2 linked regions of the Xenopus tropicalis genome follow. The protein of the gene in region 2 purifies or fractionates together with the protein of the main gene of each other region. This does not show direct contact. Links are inferred from orthologs where the notes say so. Each region holds a gene or a part of one and is shown on either strand. Other genes may lie near its edges. The genes, in order: gart and inpp5k.

Region 1 (10,888 bases), about 32 Mb from region 2:
GCTTGTAGGATGTTTCTTTCGTCCTCTTGTCAGCGTCATATTGGCGGTTGGCCTATCCTAACCGACTGAATGAAACATTCAGGGTTAAAGCCTGCCCCTTGCACCAACACCTATATAACTAGGGGGATGAATCCTCCATTTATCAACATTCTCTGAGAAAGCTGATAAGTGAGCCTCAATGTCTTTAACTTTAGGGTTACAAAAGATGCTGAATAATGTAGTTAGCTTAAGGGTCATATTGAGATCTCTGGGTGAAAATGCTGCTCAGTTTTCCACGTGCCATCATGCAAAAAGAATAAAGCATTATGTTTAATTAGCACAGTATGAGCTAGTGTAGTATAGTATAACTGGGGGAGGGAAGATATGGCCATGCTAAGTAATTCAAGGTGGCACTCTAAAAAGGAGGTCTTCTAATATATTTGTAAAGGACGTGTCAACCCCGACAAATAATTTTTGCTTAATAAAAGAAAACATAATTCCAAGCAACTTTCCAATGTGAATTTATTAAAAATGATTAGTGCTTTAAAAGTTATTTGGAAATGTAATTGCTATAGTAAGCAGCGTTGGAAATCAGTGTAGTCTGCAACATACTCAATACTGGGCCCGTTGTCTAGACAAAACAGCTAAATGGTTAGTGTACCCCCCTGCTGAACTATATACTGGCTGAAGAGTTACTGATAATGCATAGAAGTAGGCTGAATCTCCTGTACCATATACCAGCAGGGGATAACAGATAGTGCTCACAGCTGTAATCTCCTGTATTCTATACCAGCTGGGCACTATTATACGGCTCAGAGAATATCTCCATTACTCTCCTATCAGCTCCCCAGTGTAAATTCTTTCCATATATCCTAATCAAATTCCCAAAATTGGGACTGGATTTAATGGCACTGACAGATTTACCAAGAGCCAAAGGCAAATTCATAAAAATATGTCGGTAAAATGACTGAAAAATCTGAAAACTGTCTGTTTAAAAGACAAATTCCCAAAAGTGGAGACATAGGTTTGTGAATTAGGTGGTAAATCCAACAAATCTATCTCCACTTTTATTTTGTCTTAATATCATCACTTTTGTGAATTCCCCCCAATGAGTAGTAAGAGCCCTAGTACAGAAAGAAATTAAGGTTGCCTTGCCATCCTGCAAGAAACAGGCCTGGCCGCACTACTGATCATGACTCCTATTTCTAATGGAGACTTTAATGTCACTGGTATAAATAGCCTTGTGGTTAGGAAGTAACTTGGGCAGGGTTTGCCCCTCTGGTAACGACATTATTTTATATTTCTTTATTCTGAAGCACTCGGCAGGTGCAAACTAACTGCTTATTGGTTACTGGAAATTTTACCCATGTTACTGCATAATACCTAATCGTTAGTTGCTGGATATAGATGTAAAATCTGTTTCTGTTTACTGTAATAGTAATTAGCCCCCTGATTATGATAAAGATTATATAGGGTACCAATAGGAGCAGACCAACGTTTTTGGCTGGGGCTGCATGTTGAGTGCTCCGTGCAGCTGTAATTATTGCCTGCAGTCATGATGCATTTAGTATTTGGTGGCATTGCTTTCCAAATCCTCACCAGAACTGCTGGTATTTATTTATTCATTCATTCAGTTTCCCTACATGCAGCAGAACTGGACATGGAGTCCCACTAAACACTGGCACGGGGCAAGCAGAAGTAAAGCGGCTGAGCTCTTTTTGTTGCCCTGACTGTAGCCATTTGTAGCATTATGGATGTCAAATGCAACCTCTGCCTAAAGCTGGCTGATCTTGTTTAGCAAGGTTTCAAAACGAGCAGATCTTTTTCCTGATGTGGGCAATATCGGGCTTAATTGGATCATAATGACAGAGATACAGGCCATAGGGGAGAGGACAAAGTTAATGAGCCAATGTGTTCCTCAGTCCAGTGGAAAAATTAACCTGCCCGATTGTTGGCCAGATATCAGTTAGTTAGTCCCAACTGTAGGGCCCCATAAAAGGGCAGATAACTTTATAGTTAGCTTGGGAGGAGAGCCCTTCAGATCACACCAAGGGCCCCTTAAAGTCACACTTCTGGCGGGCCTTGGACACCCCAGTCCAACCCTGCTGTCTGATTAGACAGCTCAGTAATTGTATCCCTGTTCATCCATTTGCAATGATAATACTATTAATAACCATAATATTTATCATGTGCCACATATTCCACAGGAGAGTGTTTATACATCAAACATAAATACAAATTCTGATCATGTGGAGAGCACCTAATTTTAGGTTAGTTAATTGTAGCTGGAAACCGAACGCAGATGTGTTTTCTTTTGAATTAGAAATTCCATAAGAACAATGACTTTATCTGTAGTGAGCTTTTGCTCTCACTCACACCCTTAGTCCTCCTACTGCCACTTCCTTAGTAATATTCACCAATTACCGTGCATCCTCATTGGCAATTGGGTCCATGTCAGGAGCCCGAAGTGCTGATCACAAGTTCATTCATAAGTTGTCTTGTGACACCAGTTCCGACTGCACCGACATTTATAATGTGCAGCCCTAAGCAGAGCTTTCTATGGGGAGGGGGCAGGAAGGATGGGTGCTGAGGGATAGCAAGTAGTACCTATTTGATAAGCTATTAGTGCAACTGGAGACAACTTTTGTTGAATGGCTGTTACCCCAATGTTTCTATATATCTGTAACCTTGTTATGGGCTAAGGGGGCCCAGCCTGAAGGCCAGTTAGAGGGAGATTTGGGGTGAGTGCTTATTTGTGCCCTGGGTACCCCTGGAACTATAGCAGGGTGACTGTTACCCCAATGTTTCTATATATCTGTAACCTTGTTATGGGCTAAGGGGGCCCAGCCTGAAGGCCAGTTAGGGGGAGATTTGGGGTGAGTGCCCTGCCTAGAGGGGACAGTTAGTTCTGTTGCATTAGAGATTAAAGTGACTTTGTTCATATTGCCGTATGTTCAGACAGGAGTCGGTTCTCAATCAGTGGGCATCATGTTAAAATAACTTGCTGATTGCGGAGCTTTCTGATTCTTTTTTCTCTTCCGTTACAGCTGCCCCAGTCAGTGACCATGCCAAGCTCGCCCAGTTCTGCAAAGATAACCATGTTGGCCTAGTGGTTGTTGGTCCAGAAGCTCCTCTTGCAGCAGGTAAATTACATGCCCAAATTATCACCTTCACCCTTCGGAGAGTAATTTAAGCCTTCATCCCCTTTGTTTCTCTCTCTCCCCAGGGATTATCGATGATTTGACTGCAGCCGGAGTGAGGTGTTTCGGTCCTACAGCCAAGGCGGCACAGCTTGAGGCCAGTAAGAGTTTTTCCAAAGAATTTATGGACCGACACAACATCCCAACTGCCCGCTGGAAATCATTCACTGACCCCAAGGAAGCCTGCAGCTTTATTATGAGGTACATTATGGATAACTGTGTTCTGTGAGGGTGCCCAAACTGTTCAGAGCATAGCATGTATATAATAAGTTTCAAATTACTGCTAATAATGGTAAGCTTGGTGCCTTTGCAAAACTGTGTGTTTGTGCTTGGGTCATGGATGTGTATTGGAAGCCATTCCTCATCTATAAAGAGAAGATGTGAGCAGATTTTGCCTACTGGGCCATAGCATGCAAAAGGCAATGGCTGCTCAGTTTTTTCCTTCATACAGTCAGAAGGGGCTTTTGTTCTATTAAATTAAAAAGGAACCAGGTTTCTCACTATGAAACTAAGGCCATCAACTATTGTCTGCTCCTAAAGTGGTCTAGCTTCTAATCTACACACTTCTGATGTATTTAATACATCTCATATCTTGTCTTTGTAGTGCTGATTTCCCTGCATTGGTAGTCAAAGCGAGTGGCTTGGCAGCGGGCAAGGGAGTGATTGTGGCCAGCAGTAAGGAAGAGGCTTGCAAAGCTGTGAATGAGATCATGCAGGTGAGTTATATAATAGGCCAATGGGAATATGGCCTGTACCCATTGGACCTGCAACTCGCAACATTCCAAAAACGCCATTGGAACGATGTGGGATTGGACTTCAGTAATTTTAAGTTAACTTGTAGCATGTTATAGAATGGCCAATTCTAAGCAACTTTTTATTTGCTCTTCAGTATTTTTTTTTTTTTTTTTATAGTTTTTAAATTATTTGCCGCCTTCTTCCAACTCATTGCAGCTTTCAAATGACCCCAGCAGCCAAAAACTATTGCTCTGTGAGGCTACAGTGTTATTGTTAATCTTTATAACTAATTTTTATATCCAGGCCCCTTCCTATTTATATACCAATCTCTCATTTAGACCGCTCCCTGGTTACTAAGGTAATTTGAACTCAAGCAACCAGATAGCCGCCTAAACTTCAAACTGGAGAGCTGCTAAACAAAAAGTGAAATAATTAAACTAAAAATAATAAAGAAATGAAGGCCAATTGAAAATTGTCTCAGAATTTTACTCTCTACATCATACTCAAAGGGGAACAACTATTGGTCACTATTCTAAGGCCAATCACTGGTGCCAGCATTGGTGATATTGTGAAGGTCACAGCCTGCTGGGAATTTTCTATGTCCTAGTCACTGCAGTTTTGTACTTTACAATGTATTTTTGTAAACTAGATAAGATAATGAATATGGAACAACAGCACCACATGTTGTTCAGTTTGGTAAAGTTGGCAGAAAATTAAGTTAGCCAGCAGAGGAGAGTGTGAAAATACAGTTTGTTAGTCAGATCTAAGCAGAGTAAAAGCACAATCGAGAGATGGTGACACATGCTGTTCAATAAATGTGCAATTGCCCATAAACCCAATTCCTTTGTATTCTCCATCACAGGACAAGGCATTTGGAGAAGCTGGAGACACAGTGGTTGTGGAAGAGCTGCTGGAAGGGGAAGAAGTCTCTGTAGGTTGATGGTTTTTGTCATTTGTGCTGATATGTATTCTGTTTAGGTTGTTTTTTCTGCACTTTTCACTTATCAGCTAATGAAAAAGGCAGCTTCCATTTATGCCCCAGCCAGGGCTTCTCTTATATTATTGTTGTTTAAATATGCACTGGGTTACGGCAATGTGAGGGCAGTTGGTAAAAGAGAACTATGATAGGTCTGTAGAGTTTAGCTCTGCAGGCTGTGCCTGTGCCTTATAATTATATTAAATATGTATAAGAATGCCACCCTGCACTGCTTAGAATTATATGTTCTTTCATTATGCAATATAGTTCCCTCCGTCTTTTATACTTTTCTTGATACAATGGGATATTGTTTTTCTTTTGCAGTGTTTGTGTTTCACAGATGGAGTCACAGTTGCTCCAATGCCACCAGCTCAAGATCATAAAAGACTGTTGGATGGTGACCTTGGCCCTAACACGGGTGGAATGGGAGCCTATTGTCCAGCTCCGCAGGTAAGTGGTAAATGATGTTATACTCATTGGTCAGTTTGTTGTTCTGTCCAGCCCTCAAAGAGGAAATAAGCACTCATCCCAGTTTTCCTTAAGGCTCTACTTATAGGACTTAATATCCTACTGCAGGCTGAGGCCTCGTCCTGTATTGGATCCCACCATGGAGGCTAGCCCCACAGTTTGGGACCCACAAACGCCTTTCTCTGCTTACACCAATACCGTACAACAAGAATATTTATCTTTTAGATTACAAAAGATTTTCTGGAGAAAATCCAAGACACTGTCTTGTTGAAAACCGTTAATGGAATCCGTCAGGATGGTGCACCGTATGTCGGTAAGTGTTTGTGCAACTGAAATAGTGCCATGAGTTGCAATTGGCTGTCATGGAGTTTATAAAGAAATGCTGATTGCTTGTTAAGTAGGCAGTGCTTATATGTACATTTTCTGCAAAATGAATTGGCCAACGATTATATATAACATCAACAGGTTTTTCCTGTTTAAATGCATACTGCTTCCCTTGACAATAAGATATTATTAGCCCTTGGTATAAATGGGAACTCATTTGTTGACAATCTGGAAGTGATAGTGAAAGTGTGATAGGAAACAAGTAGTTACACACAGATGATATCCCTTATTATCCTTACAGTATAATACAATTGCCAGTTTGCAAGCAGTATGACAGCACTGGGATTATTTATTCTTTCCAGGTGTGCTCTATGCCGGCCTGATGCTCACTATGGATGGCCCCAAGGTACTTGAGTTTAACTGCAGATTTGGAGACCCAGAATGCCAGGTAATTATTAAACAGTTCTATTTCTTTTAAGTATTTACAATGTGTACAATCAGGAGAGCCTATCCAGCCTCTCCTTGCTGGTCTCTCAATATATATGGAAGCCAGATCCTTAACCCCCCTCCATCCATTACCCACTGTGCTCTCTGATAAGGAGCCTCTTCCTGTGTTCCTGTTTCTTGCCAGTATTACTTTATTCATGTTCTAATTTTTTCTTTTTTTTCTTTTTTAATTCAGGTGATTCTCCCACTCCTACAGAGTGACCTTTATGATGTTATTGTGGCCACTATTGATGGCAAACTGGCCAGTTGTATGCCAGTGTGGCTAGAAAACCACGCAGCTGTTACAGTTGTTATGGCCAGTGGAGGCTATCCCTCTAACTATGCCAAGGGGTTGGAGATCACTGGTGAGTCTTAGATAAGTGTCGTCTGTCAGCTCTGGGCTGGGATACAAAATAGGCCAATGCATTTTAAGTACACAGAGGCCCAAACAGCCCCCCCACAGGCCCATTAAATAGTGAGTGTCTATGGCATCTTACAGCAGCCCCTCTGGCGTTTGCCAGAACCCACAGATTGGCAGTCAGGGCCTGACTCTTATTGTAACTAATAAAAAGCCATTACAACATTTATTATGTTCCATTCTGAACTGAGCTGTAGATACTAATTATCTAATCAGATACTGACTGTGCATGTTATTGTAACAACCCTATAAGCGCATTAGAAGGTGCAAAAGATAATTTAGGGTTGCTCCTTATGCTCCATAGAACGCATGTTAAACAGTGATTGGTGAAGAAGGTACAGTACTTGGCAATGCTGGGAATCTATTCAGCCCCCTGCTACCTCTTTTTCCCTGTCTTGTCTTGTACCATAGGGGAAGGCTGTGACCTACCAGAGAGCATTTTGGTGCTGCACTCTGTCCCCGTCATATGTATTAAAAGGCAGTAAGTTTTCCCAGGAGCAGTAGCCAATAAGATGTTTGCTTTTAAATAGGTGACCAGTAAATACTTCCTGTAGATTGGTTTCTTTGGGATGCTGCTCCTGGGCAAACTTGGTGCCTTTTATTACATAACCCCTGCATATCCTTCTCTCTTTCTGGGGTTACAAAATAAAAGGCACTAAGTTTGCCCAGGAGCAGTAACCCACAGCAACCAATCAACTGGTCACCTGTTTAAAAGCAAACATACTTTTGGTTGCTATGGCTTATTGCTCCTGTGCAAACGTAGTCCCTTTTATCACCTGTGGGGGTTAAGGTCCGGTTCTAAACATTACAATTTCTTTGGAAATTAGATGAATAATCTGTGTATTTCCTGCAGGGTTCCAAAAGGCTGGAGAGCTGGGTCTGGAAGTGTTCCATGCAGGCACCGCCCTCAAGGATGGAAAAGTGGTGACCAGTGGAGGGAGAGTTCTAACTGTCACATCAATCAAGAAGGATCTTGTATCGGCTCTAGACCAGGCTAACAAGGGGGTGGCAGCGATACAGTTTCAAGGAGCTGTGTATAGAAAGGACATTGGCTTCCGGGCTATTGCTTACCTTAATCAATCCAGGTGTGTATCGGAACACTTGATCTGAGGACTGTCTGTAGCATGAACTGTGTAGCCTTTGGGTCTGAAATACAACTGGACCAGGTTAAATAGAATGAATTAAAGCACACAGAACCCACCAAGCCCATAAACCAAGTACAGGTATGGGACCTGTTATGCAGAATGCTGTCAAACTGGAGTTTTCTGGATAAAGAATATTTTTGTAATATGGATCCCCATACCTTAAATATATTAAAAATGATTGCAACATTAAATTAACCCAATAGGATTGTTTTAATTTATAAGTTGGAAGTTGGAGAAAGGAATAATTAGAATTATTTGCCATCTCTCTGGTGCTTTCTGGATAACAGGCTTCTGGATAATGGATCCCATACCTATACATACACTTTCTACTCTCTTACATTTCTTAATTGTACAAATTTAGCTTTCATGTTGCAGTAAGCTGTAGGTTATGTTAACCCCAATATGAGACAAAATAACAATAGTTAAAATCCTAATAGAGGACGTCTTTTTATAAAACCCCATTAGATAAATGGCACTATGTCCTGATTGTATGGGTTACTTATCTAATGCACGTCGTGGTATTTGTGTTTTTGGATAAATGATGACAATCCATAATCAGGCCAAAAGTAATTTCCTTATTGTTGTGACTGGCTCCTATATTTACTGTGCTGATAAATGTCCCATAATTGTTTTATTTTGTCTCCTGTTACTGGAACTGTGTGTGATTTGCTGTAACCTTGAGTCATTCAGTCTCAGCAACTCTCGTGTCTGTTACATATTTTCACCCTGCTGTGTATAAGACGATTTCTTTGTAACCAAAAAAAAATTGATTTGCTAAAAAAATGTGTAATGTGTCTTAATTTCAATTAAAGGTCAATATCTTGAAAGCCTTTTAGGAGCAGTTAGTCGCGCATGATAGCAGAGATCTATTGCGGGCAACTAACTTGCTCCGTGGGTTATTACTCTTTAATGGGGGGATTTGTCATAGTCGGGAAACACACAGTACCAGTCAGCTGTAGAACTAGTGATTTGGCTGGGCCAGTGGTGTAAATGACAGTTTCTGCCCCCCCCACCCCCAACTCTGCATTGTGTTACCACATTACCTGCCCAACTGCCCCTTTCCCGCTAATGCAAGTTTCAGCAACACTGGCACAGGCAGTTCCCTTACTGGGAACCCCTTTTTTCCCAGGCCTCCCCACACACACACACTCAATGGAGTCTGCTGGTGCCAGGTGAAGCCACTGAACAGGACTGTTTTGCTTCTCTTTATTCCCTGCCCTAGAATTGGTCATATTTCAGTCAATTCCCATCTCTAGTGGTTGCCGTCAAGCTGTAACAAGACTATGCAATAATAGGGGTAAAGTTAGGTCCAGCAGCATTTACTAACCAATCAGATGTATGCTTTCAAAGAGCAAACCAGTTAATGTTACTTGCCATTAGGTTTCTTGGGGTTACTAGAACTTAGAGACTTGCTTACATGTCCTTTACTAGGTATGTGATCTTGGTAGGTCTCAAGCATAGTAGGAAGGTCTGAATTCCTTGAATCCTTCATATCACTCACCTGCTTGTGTAATCTCTACCCCCAAGTGCCAGCAATGATTATATAGAGTACTATTCCCCTGTGTTTATAACATGGAAGATGTGTCATACCAGGCCCAGTACTGCAAATGTAATTCCTCACCAATAAATAGGGGTGACAAAGTCATGTGTAGGTAGTTGCTTGGTCACTGCTGTAGGGATGTAGCTATAGGATTTCTGCATGTTTTCTTCCCAGTCGACTTTGGGGTTCAGCACTGGGCTGCAAATGTACCCCTTGCTAATCGCAGGTTCTGCTTCAGACTTTGTAGAGCAGTGATCTGCCTTTTAGGTCACATTATATCTAAATCACATTCTATCTCTAATATGATCTATGCATATCAGATATGGGAGTTCCCCTGCTTTACTTCACATTAAATAACTCTGATATAGAGATCTAGAAATCTTTTTATTTTCCATTTCAGAACACTGCATCAGTCTTATTCATGGGGTGGGTTCACAGCACCCTCATTCTTACAATGCTCCCCTCTTTATCCTGCCAGGTCCCTGACATACAAGGATAGTGGTGTGGATATAGAAGCTGGTAACAGTTTAGTGAAAGCAATTAAACCATTGGCTGCAGCCACTGCCAGACCAGGTAAGTCTCCTAATTATTGGTGTCCTGCCTTGGTCATAGTAGGTGGGTAATCACTCACTGCTGGAGAACATTTCATAACTGTAACTATGGGATCCATATAAAAAAAAGTTATGTTGTTTTTCCTCCCTAAAGATGCCCATACATCTCCCGATATCCCCCACCTACGGGTGGGCGATATCGGGAGAATCCAGGCTAATTAGAACGACGTGCATAGGCAAAGTTGGTTCGGTGACCGCATCAACAAGCCAATGCGGTCCCCGATCCGACTAGATTTTTTAACCTGCCTGATTGATATCTGCCCGATTTCAGGCCAGATTTCGGTCGGGCAGGCCCGTCAGTAGTTCCCATACACGGGCCGATTAGCTGCCGAATCAGTCTAATAAGGGACCGATATCGGCAGCTAGAATCGATCCGTGTATAGGGACCTTTATTCTGTTACATTGCTCGGAAGGCATCAATGGAATGGTACATGTATTAATCAATGACCTTGTAGGAGTCATCCAACATTGTTAGCTGAAAAAAACTTTACTTTAGCTACTAATACCCAACCCTCGCCTGATCTGCTTGTGGGCTAAACCCTGCCCAAGGGTCAGTCAGATAAAAGTGGTTGGGGAGAAATCATGTTTTGTATTATCTGTACTGGAGTTTACTTATGATCACGTTGTGCTTTAGCGAAGGCTGCAAACTGAGTCTGGAACTGATGCAAGGGTCAGGTTTTGGTGTCCTAATTGAAGGCCCTTGGGTTAGTTGCCTAACCCTGCCTATTTGGTTCAAGCTTTTAGTATTTGGTCTGCAGCTTTTGAGCTCTGCCCCTTCTATGTGTTACAGTGTATGTAATGCCCTGCACAAAGGCATATATCCCTGTTTCAACACCAAATATATCCTGACAACACCAAATGCTCTGTGTGTGTGAAGATGGCAATGCTTTGCCAGGGGGATATTTTTTTAGTAATATGTGCTGTGCTTGGGTAACTGTTACAATATGTCCGCCTGGCAGGATGCAACGCAGAACTCGGAGGGTTTGCTGGCCTGTTTGATCTGAAG
Region 2 (10,888 bases):
CATCCCCAGTGCAAGACAAACCTCCAGATGTCCCATCATCCCCAGTGCAAGAAAACCCTCCAGATGTCCCATCATCCCCAGTGCAAGACAAACCTCCAGATGTCCCATCATCCCCAGTGCAAGACAAACCTTCAGATGTCCCATCATCCCCAGTGCAAGACAAACCTCCAGGTATCCCATCATCTCTAGTGCAAGACAAACCTCCAGATGTCCCATCATCCCCAGTGCAAGACAAACCTCCAGGTGTCCCAGCAACCCTTGTGCAATTTAAACCTTCATGTATCCCAGTATCCCTTGTGCAACGCAGACTTCCAGATGCCCCAGCATACCCAGTGTTACCTCTTGGTGTCCCAGCACCCCTATCATAAGTTAACCTTAAGGTGTCCCAACACCCCTAGTGCAAACCAAAGCCTAGACTACTATAAAGTGCTTTGAGTCTTGCAGGAGAAAAATTCCTTCCATGACATTTACATTTTCTATTCATTGAGTCTAAATGTATGCACAAAACAGATACATAACAAATGCTGCCCTACTGTGGCACAGTCACTAATACTCACCTGATTACAGTCTTCACTAAAGGAAATTTCATCATCTTTAACCCAAGCGTAAGTGACATAATCATTTGTATGTCTAAAGCCAACCTAGAAAAGCCCAAAATCAGAATGAATAAAGGGCATGGATCAAAAATGTGAATATAGTGTAAATGTTGTTTAAAAGACAGAAGCTCAGTCATTGCTGGTGCTATGGTGCTATCCACTTGTAACATGGCAATGTTTTATTGAGTTCCGAGTTCTGCAGAAGGCTTTCCACTGGACAACTTATTATATATATTAATATATAGTAGTTGAAATCTTTTTGGGGAGGTTAAATCTTCATTATTCCCTATCTCTGTGTTCCGTGAATCTTCACACTGCATATCTTTATACCACATTATTTACTTTAAGAAATAAAGTACCCGCTACTGTGAAATATTAAAACAGAAGTCATCTGAGAACTCTATTAAAGGTATGGGACCCAATATCCAGAATGGTTGGGACCTGGGGTTTTCCAGATAAGGGGTCTTTCTGTAATTTGGATCTCCTTAACTTATGTCTTCTAAACAATCATTTAAACATAGATAAACCCAAAATGATAATTTTACCTTAGTTGGGATCAAGTACAGGATACTGTTTTATTATTACAGAGAAAAAGGAAATCAATTGAAAAAAAATTGAATTATTTGATTAAAATGGACCTTATGGAAAATGGTCTTCCTGTAATTCAGAGCTTTCAGGATTCCAGATAACGGATCCCATACCTGTACCTGTATTAAAGTACTTGACCTTGTTATGGAACTCATCAGTGACTTGTAATTCACTCAATCTATTTTACAGTAGAAGTTTGGTAGATGTATTATTCTTTATTATTTCAGTTTATTTCTGATAATAGAGGTGGGCTATCATATGCATTACATATTATTGCATTATCCCATATTTGATGACAGAATTTCATTACTGCTGTATATAGGTTAAAACATGAGAAAGATAACAAATTGTTTTGACAAGATCAATGTTATTCTTGTATTATATGAAATATGAGTTTGGATCGCATTATAAATATCTTTTAAAAGCTAAAAGTGGAAAGAACTAACATATCTTATCTGGGAAAAGACAATTCAAGGAACTGCACTTTCTGGAATATGCCGTGCACTATGGTGAAATGCAAAAATGCTAAGTATTTAAGGGAAGGAGCATTGCTATCTAATAACTGGTTTCCTGCCCTGTGAGATAACAAATCATTATGGCAGTTCGATATTCTCTGTTTGGGTTATATTTAGTGTGTGGGAATGCTGCAGCATGATTACAATCTGTTCAGTCAGTATCAGTCATAAAAAAGTCACTTAGGAGCTGATTTACTAACATTTGGAAAATCCTTTAACAAAACAATCTTTTTCAGTGCTGTCACTGTGATAAAAGAATAATTGAGAGCATAGTGGTTCCACTGAACTTTTACGGTAAGGCTCCAGAAGGCAGATTCGCTGGTACGCTTAAAAATTCTTCTTGTTGTGCCTGTACCCAGAAGCACTGAATGTGCTCGGGTGCAGGCACGCAGCCAAACTCCATCAACTAACGCAGGCGGATAGCGGCTACATGTGCCTGCACCTGGGCGGATTCAGTATTTCCGGGTGCAGAAACAATTAGAAGATTTTTCAAGCATACAGGCGCACTGTCAGCCTGCTCTTATACACAGGCTGACAATTCCTTGTGGCACCCTATCCTTATTCTCTACATACTTGTAGATATAATTGGGAGCTATGGACCTAAGAATTGGCTTTCTTTAAACTTCAAGTAACACAGAAGCTTTGTAGTTTTCTACATACTTACATTAACAAAAGCTGGTTGCACATTGCTGAGGTAGCCAAATGACAAAATCTTTCCCAGATTTACCCATCTTGACCAAGGGCCAAACAATTAACTAACCTGCCTGATCAATATCTAGCTGACTTTTGGCCAGATTTTAGTCGAGCAGGCCCATCAGAGGACTTCATACAAGGGCAGATAATCTGACAACTCAGTCCGAAGGGGCTGAATCAACAATTTAAATCTGTCACCTTAAAGGAGAAGAAAGTCATTTTGGCATTTTGCTGCCAAAAGATTCACCAAATCAGTGCCACCTAGAACACTATATTTATTATTCAGAAAGCTTTACCATACCCGAGTAAAGAGCCCTAGAAGCTTTCTCTGTTTGCTTAAGATTGCAACTGCCATTTTAGCTTGGTCTTTATAGCTTCCTGCTGTATAGCTCAAGCCATTATAGCTCAGATCACATATTTTAAGGGAGGGGGGAGGGAGTTCTCAGAAGAGAACTAGGCAGACTCTGGCCACAGTAATGAAGGATTTATCTGAGAGAGGAAGTCAGATACCCAAAGAACATGTTTACAAAAAAGGAGAAAAGAAAATGTATGTTTCTTTCGATAGAGTGCAGCATTTCTGTGAGTGCTTATGGCTGTATTTACATAGACCTTTCTGATAAAGCTTACTTAGTTTTCAACTTTCCTTCTCCTTTAGGATCAATTTATTAATTGGATTTAAATGCAGGTTTATATTTATACAGTATTTTCCATAAAGATACACCTATAAAGGCAATGTCGCTGGTTTTGCCATGTAATGAATAATAGCTCCAAGGGCAGGGAAACCTGAAATAGCTCCCCATTTACAAACATTGAGTTTGGTATTTGTGATAAAGGGACGGTTCATCCCCCTGAAAAATTATTCCCATCTGTCTGTGGCTCTAATAAACACTCTAATTGCCTGTTTTACTAAAAATATTATGTGCATTCTCAGTTGCAACATGTGAGGCTGTTATGAGATCTATAGGTTTCCTAGGGCACCAGCAGCACCACAGGTGCTAAGCAAGGAAATGACAGTAATTCAATGCATGTGAGAAAGCAGGAAAACATACCCTATAAAGTCCAATCCAATCCCAGGTGCTGCTGGGAAAGTCTTTTGCCACAGAATAGCTTATTAAGGAATCATGGTCTGCGTTCCATTCTCCTTCGGGTTTCAGTGTAACAGAAGGTGAAAGAATGAGGGGCTTCAACTATAGAAACAAACAAAACTTGAATTGAGGCTGTTAGTGATCTGTAAAAAATTACCGAGTTATAGGGGCAGCTCACCCTTACAGAACTTGTTTTCAAAGAGTACATGACAAATAACAGCCTTTTTTCAGTTCACTTTCTATTTATTTTGAATGTAGTTTAAAGGAGAAGGAAAGGCTAAGTCACTTGGGGGTGCCAAAATGTTAGGCACCCCCAAGTGACTTAAATCGCTTACCTTGTACCCCGGGTAGCTGCGAGCAATTCCTTCTTCATGTTTTGCGTGCTTGCGCATGCGCAGTAGAGTGAAATGCTGAACTTTAACAAGAAATTTGGCTTTTCACTCTACTGCGCATGCGCCGGCCCAGGAGTTTCACCGGCAGGAGGAAGCGCTCGCTACAGGTACCCCGGGCTGGTGCTGTTTTCTCCTAATAGGGGTGCCAGCCCGGGGTACAAAGTAAGCGATTTAAGTCACTTGGGGTGCCTAACATTTTGGCACCCCCAAGTGACTTAGCCTTTCCTTCTCCTTTAATGTAAACTCAAATTAATTCACTTCCCTTTCATAGAAACTCTGTAACCTATATGACGACTTTATAATCAGTTAAAATTTTATTCTTTATTCCAGCGCTGCCCAATGTAGTGGGCAAATTAGATTTTTGCGTGAGGGTCAGATTATATTAATATGGGGATGTCAAACAGGGACAATAACAATACCTTGGAGGACCTCTAGTTGCACAGCCCTGCATTTAATACATTTCAAAGCAATATAAGAGATATGCCAGCAACTAGTGTATCAAACAGTGACAGTTGTGACATAACGCAGGCTAAATACGGAGTGAAGCTGCAGCTGCCAAAACATGTATCAACAGTGGTGTAACTACATAAACAGCAGACCCTGTGGGTGGAGGGACTGTTCACGCCAGGCCCCCTCCAAAGATTTTTTTTGTGGGGGGCCTGGCCCTGTCAACTAGCATATCAAATTGTAGCAGGGTTAGACAGCGTTCTAGCTTACTGAGCAACATTAGAGGGCTGGAGGGTATAAACCAAATTCATTTTTTAATCTGTAACTTTTACAAAAAAACAGGAAAATAGAAAGCAATTGCAAATAGTTATTATTTGCACTGTACTATTTGAAAAAGATACGTTTTGAGAATGTGAACCTAAATACTATGTTAAATGCAGTCAATGTAACCATGAAGGAAACAAAAGGTGGGGCTAGCTATAAGCACAGGTACATTTCCCTACGTATAATGTGGCAATACATACCTCGAATCTTGTTAGTTGATTGTTTATATTAGAGAACAAAAATCCTGTTAAGAGTACAGAGCACACACACACGTAACACTGGCAATATCTGTATCAGAGTTAATATTTAAAGAAGAACTAAACCCCAAGAACGAGAAATGCACAGGAGTTCCAAATACTAGATTATGCTAGCAGTGTCAGTGACACTCACATGCTCAGTGTGCTCTGGGCAGCTGTTGAGAAGCTAAACTTAGGGATTGTTGCGAATTATTAAGAAGATAAAATTAAGTTGGCCAATAATATAAGATGATGCTACAGGGCTGATTATTGAATTCTGATGTTAATTGCACTTAGCTGCCATGTAATGAGAATCTGAATTAAAGACTAATCAGCCTTGTACTGGATATATAGAACACAAAGTCACAATACAGTACATTTTGAGCCGGTCCCTAAACTCAGGTAACTGACAGCATAATTGAGCATGTGCAGTGAATCAGCAGAAAAGAAGATGGGGTGCCACTGGGGGCACAGATCATCACTGCTAAAGGGCTGCGATTGCCTGGCACAGAACCCTAAAACATAATGTTCAAATTTCTACCCTACTTTTTTTGTTAAGCATCAGTTCCCCTTTGAACTAAACAAAGTATGGTAATTTCTTTTTATTAAATAAATTCTATGAATATTTTCTTTTCGAGGTCAATGAGCACTATGCAGTGTACCTGCAGGGTGAAGGTCCCAGTTACTGGTTTGTGGTCACTGATCCCATAACTCATGTGACTTGTGTATTTATCCAAACGGACTTTTAAAAACTGTTCAAAGTCCAAACCGGTTGTTTCACCAGGATCACTGTCCGAAACATCCTTCAACTTCCAAAGAATGCGATCTGTCCATGCAGGTTTACGTTTCTTGCTGCTACAATGTTGAACAAAAACACAGCAATTGGCATGGAAAATAAGCCAGCACTATGTGGTGCTATGCTGCACTTCCTACATTCTAGGTGATGGATTATTTTAAGCGTTCCACGTGTTTTACAGCCAGAAACATTAGGGAGGGTGTTAATCATGTTCAACAAAGAAGCAATTTCAATTCAAACAGACTTTAAGATGGGGATACATTATAAGCAAAATATGTAACTTCATACAAAGTGTCAATACCTAAACCCCCTTCTCCTACCAAGCCTATAACTTATTTCCCTCTCTGCTTAACCTTTGGCTTTTAGTCTTCTCCACTTATCACCAATTGCTACTTCTACTTACCTATTTGCCCACTACATTACTGGTGTTTTTTTGCTAACACACTTTCCTTTGGCTTCCTACCCACTTCATTTTCTCGTTCACTAGTCACATCTGCATATCCACTTGTTTTGGTAATTTTGCTTTCCTTTACCACACATATACCATTACCAACATTCCTTTTATTTTCACCTACTGTTCACCTCCTTTTTAAGATCCCACATTGCGCTTGCAATTGACTCCAAATGTTTTTGGTGCCAACCTACTGTACTGTGCCCATATTTATTTATTGCTGTTCACCCCTCCTTAGTTAACATTTTTTCTTTCATTTAAGGATCATTTGTCTTCACCCTTCCAGCTTCTCCCCATCTTCCTTTCTCTGAAAATTATATCTGTATAGTATTATGAGATATTAGAATCTTTTAATGTTCATAAAATTCAGTAACCACCACACTGCTCTAACACCTTCCCCCTCATAATAGAACTGAAAATAAACATTAATGTTATTTTTTTTAGTTTTATAAACATCTTTGATTGGCTTATAACGCTAATGTATAGATGGAAATGGAAACTAATGAAGACAAGATTATATAGCAAGTCAAATATCTGCTGTCATGAAACAAAAAGAGTGTGTCATTTTAAATTTTATATCAAATACCCAATAAAACCATACAATAACATTTTGATAACTTTCTTCTATGCTTTTACAATATTTAGAGTTTATTTTTTGTAGCGACCACCACAAACAGGTCCCATCCACTAGAAAGCAGAGTAAAATTATCTCTTAACTCAGTTCTAAATGACTAATGCCTCTTCCCAAAAAATTAAATACGTTCATCCAAATGCTGATTCACAAATAATATGAAAAATAATAATTTGTATAGTAGTAACAAATAATAAAAGCACAGATCATGATAGCTTTCCGGCTGTATCATAAGATTATATGGGGATACCATCTATTTAGGTGTGGGTTAATATGGACAACACTCCAAATGTTTCAGTCCTGGAGATATTTAGCAAGCTGAAGTATTTCGCTCTTAGTTTGTGCATATTTGAGCCAGCAAACTAAGGCAACAGGTTTGACATGATGTTATTAGGTTTTCTAGAGAAATCATGTAGGAATACTGCATTACATTTGAGTATTTCTACTGATAACTCATTTAGTATAGTCTACTACTGGTTTTAGTTTGAGACAAGGGATATTTTTTAATCTTACTTAAGTCCAAACAGTGACTTTCTCCATCTGGAAACAAAGCAAAGAGATGAATATAAAGCACAACGGGGTGAAGGCCATACTGTCTTACATTGGGATATGTGTTTGTACCTGGTATCATATACATCAGAATTCTGGTCAAACTTATACGTGGGTTTAAACTTTAGTGGTCCTTCCAGAAATCCTTGCAGGAAAGGTTCTTTCTTCTTAGCAATATTTAACTGTTAATTGGAAGAAAAAACAAAGCACAAACCATATTAAAGAGTATTGAAATGATGTTTTGGAGGAGTTATTACATGACTGGGTACCAAATTTCAAAGAACAGGCTATAATGAATTTGCAACCATAAAGAGTTAATCTCAAGCTGCAGGCATACCTTCAGTTCTCTCAATAGTGCCCTTAAGTCTCCCCATATTTCACCTGTTCAGATGATCAGAAGCCAAACAGGAAGAAAAAACGCTGAGCTGTGTAAAGAAAGTTCCCATAATGCCTCGCTCCTGCACTGAGACCCAGACCGGTGCACATGCTCAGTTAGTTAGACTATGAGGAAGCTTCCTGCTGATTGGCTCAGATCCACATTCATAAGTGAGTTCATAGCATTCTTGAGGGAGGGGGGAGCAGGAGAGGGGAGAGAGGAGAGAGCTGCGTGTCTCTGGCACAGGAAACCAGACACAACAAATCTTTTGACAGAGAACTCTATGTTTCTTTCGATAAAGTGCAGCGTTTCTTTGAGTGCTTATGGCTGTACTTACATAGACCTTTCTAATAAAGCACCACAGATGCATTTAAAGGAGTGTGCATTCCACATTCAGACCAGTAATATAAAAGCATAAACATAATTCTCATCTCTACAAATACAATGCTCTCCAATTTGAACTCAAACCTTATGTGTATGCTGCAAAATACAGAGTCATTAGTAATTTCTTAATTAAAGGGGTTGTTCACCTTCAATGTCCAAATTTTATTAACAATGCACTCAGCGTGTAAAAACAAGTAAAGGCCACTGTAAAAACTACTTTTATACCTGTTAAATCAGTCCTTTTCTGTCTCTCTGATCAGTTTTTGTAAGGGATGGGAATGGCCTATTTTGAACCTGGCACACTAAGAACTTCCTATATGCTTACAACATCACATTCAGGCTTTGCCATTACTTTTTTCCTTCTGGACCAATTCACTGGCTACTTGTGCACTCTAACCAGTTGCATAAATTGAAAAGTCATTGGTTGCAAAGGCATAGGCAAACAGACTCAGCATATCACAAATCTAATATAATGTTATGTTAGGTTTGCAGTACTCAGTACAAATTAAGTCTGCTGCCAGTACTATGCGTAACATCAGGAAGAAAAACAAGCGGCTGTAGTGTTTAGGGGTTCACTGCCCCTCCCCACAACCCTCCAGCACAGGGTCTGTGCAGAATTGACGGATCAGCAGAAGGATGATTCTGAGGTGAATATCTCTTCAGCTGCACATTTTTTGTTAACTGTGTATAAAGCAAAGATGGCTCTATTAATGTTAAATTTGTGAATGTACTACAAAGGTGAATAACTCCTTTAATTAACAAATGTCTTTCTCCATGGGACCATATTTATTGAAAATTTGCCACAACAATAACAATTTACTAAAAGGAGAGCACACATGAGTATGAGAAGTAACTTCACATTGGTGAAAATTCTATTCACATACACAATTTTTTTTTTTATTTACAACTGATGCAATTTTTAAATTTTTCTCAAATATAAGTTTGTTGGGTTCAATTCAACTTATTTATAATATTGTTAAGAAGATTAGGCTACTGCCACACCATGCCGAAAAACGCTTGCCGAAAATATGCGCCATAAGCTCCTACCTGTGCCTGCACCCGAATGAATGGAATAAAGTCAGGTGCAGGCACATGTAGCCGAAATATGCATAAAAAACGCAACACTTTGCATTGCGTTTTGATGTGGATTTCAGCTATATGTGCCTGCACCCAAGCGTATTCCATACATTCGGGTGCAGGCACAGGTAGGAGCATATGGCGCAAATTTTCGGCAAGCGTTTTTCGGCTTGCCCAAAATATACGCCATACACATGGTGTGGCAGTAGCCTTAGAGAGCTGAAAATGATTTTCCTACTGAGGCACAGTATCCCATTTTGTGTGTATGACTATACTTTTGTTTATACTGTTGTGTGACAATAAATGCACATTTATAAAAACAAAGTTTCTTAATTGAAACTGAGCTTATTACACAAAAAGAATTAGGAAGTCGACACAAAAAATTAAGCATGATTAAATGCTAGACACCAGTGAAATTAGACGAGCGGTCTGTAAGTTAGCATACCTGGTCTTTCTCCCACAGCAGGTTGTATTTATTACTGTTTATCGCTTCTCTAATAAAGTGGATCCCAAAGTCTGTAATCCGGAAGTTTAGGTCTCCAAAGCAAAACACGAGACTTTAGAGTAACATAAACAAACATAAATGCCATTAGAATTTGCCCCTGTCCAAGAAGCACTTCTCATCGTTGGAAATAACATATTGATACAGTTAATACATCTAGGGCTTAGTAATACACAAACGCTATCACAAAAAATACATTTTTTTAAAAAGTTGCTAGTGGGATAGAAAGATGCCTAAGCCTATACTAAAACCGCATTACTGGAGAAACCACAATTTACAACAAATCAGCCCCAAGTTTATTAAAGGGGACCTGTCACCCAGACATAAAAAGCTGTATAATTAAAATCCTTTTCAAATTAAACATAAAACCCAAAATTTTTTTTGTATTACAACATTTATACCTGTTATAAAATGATTTAAAAATCTGTCAATCACATATTACTTGCCCACCTCTATGCTTTGTGTAGGGCAGGCAGTTACTTTCATTTTCTATTCAGCACTTCCTAGATGTCACTACACTCCTCTTATTGCCCCTCCCTCTACACTGTCTATACTTGTGTAGCCTGTGCATGAACATCAGGTGCTGCATTCTGGTGCATAAACAAGATTTTTAGATAATCTAAAGGCTGCTTGCTGTAATTGCGATTTTCAAGACTGAAAGAAACAAAGTTTATATATTTTACATAGTGTAGGTAAAGTTCATTTTGCCCGACTAGCACAATAGAAAAGAACTTGGAATTATCTCTTATGGTGACAGGTCCCTTTTAACCCAGTGCTTTCTATTTCAAACAGCAGATTAATAAAAGTTCCCTGTTGATTGGTTGCTATAGGTTACTAGACCTGGAGAACACACTGCACTTAACTTTATTCATTTCTTTACCAGAACTTACTCATGGTCTAGAATATTTCCAGTATTATCGTCATCAAATTGCTGAGTGTCCAGCATCCTTTCAAAATCATCGAGCCTCTGGTTGGTGTTTTCCATGTGTGCTGGCAAATGGCAGTTCATGAAGCAAACCATGTGCCCATACACCGACATACGGACTATAACGCCCCCTTTGTTTCCCTTTCATGGGAGAAAGCAGAGTATGAAAGATGTATGCCTTCTTTATGTTAAAATAAAATATTGACACTGAAAATTTTATTCAAACAAGCAAAATTTTTAACTGTCAATATTTTTGCCTAATGAAGCCCTTTTAAGGGAGAAATGTATAGCAGCAACGTATATTACATAAAAGACACTTTA

What was found.
Region 1: the proteins of inpp5k (region 2) and gart purify together in Homo sapiens (co-immunoprecipitation; 3 studies listed by BioGRID and IntAct, counting the BioPlex papers as one, with this or other methods). This does not show direct contact. The link is inferred for Xenopus tropicalis from reciprocal best matches to the Homo sapiens genes INPP5K and GART.

The regions. Positions count from the first base shown.
Region 1 is NC_030678.2:13,995,180-14,006,067, reverse strand, and holds part of gart (trifunctional purine biosynthetic protein adenosine-3), read left to right. Parts: intron 1-3,026; coding exon 3,027-3,122; intron 3,123-3,205; coding exon 3,206-3,380; intron 3,381-3,783; coding exon 3,784-3,895; intron 3,896-4,776; coding exon 4,777-4,845; intron 4,846-5,214; coding exon 5,215-5,340; intron 5,341-5,583; coding exon 5,584-5,671; intron 5,672-6,044; coding exon 6,045-6,130; intron 6,131-6,364; coding exon 6,365-6,533; intron 6,534-7,439; coding exon 7,440-7,671; intron 7,672-9,749; coding exon 9,750-9,844; intron 9,845-10,841; coding exon 10,842-10,888. UniProt on the Homo sapiens protein: Trifunctional enzyme that catalyzes three distinct reactions as part of the 'de novo' inosine monophosphate biosynthetic pathway.
Region 2 is NC_030678.2:45,870,545-45,881,432, reverse strand, and holds part of inpp5k (inositol polyphosphate 5-phosphatase K), read right to left. Parts: intron 10,709-10,888; coding exon 10,533-10,708; intron 9,698-10,532; coding exon 9,586-9,697; intron 7,486-9,585; coding exon 7,376-7,485; intron 5,732-7,375; coding exon 5,539-5,731; intron 3,580-5,538; coding exon 3,442-3,579; intron 642-3,441; coding exon 558-641; intron 1-557. UniProt on the Homo sapiens protein: Inositol 5-phosphatase which acts on inositol 1,4,5-trisphosphate, inositol 1,3,4,5-tetrakisphosphate, phosphatidylinositol 4,5-bisphosphate and phosphatidylinositol 3,4,5-trisphosphate.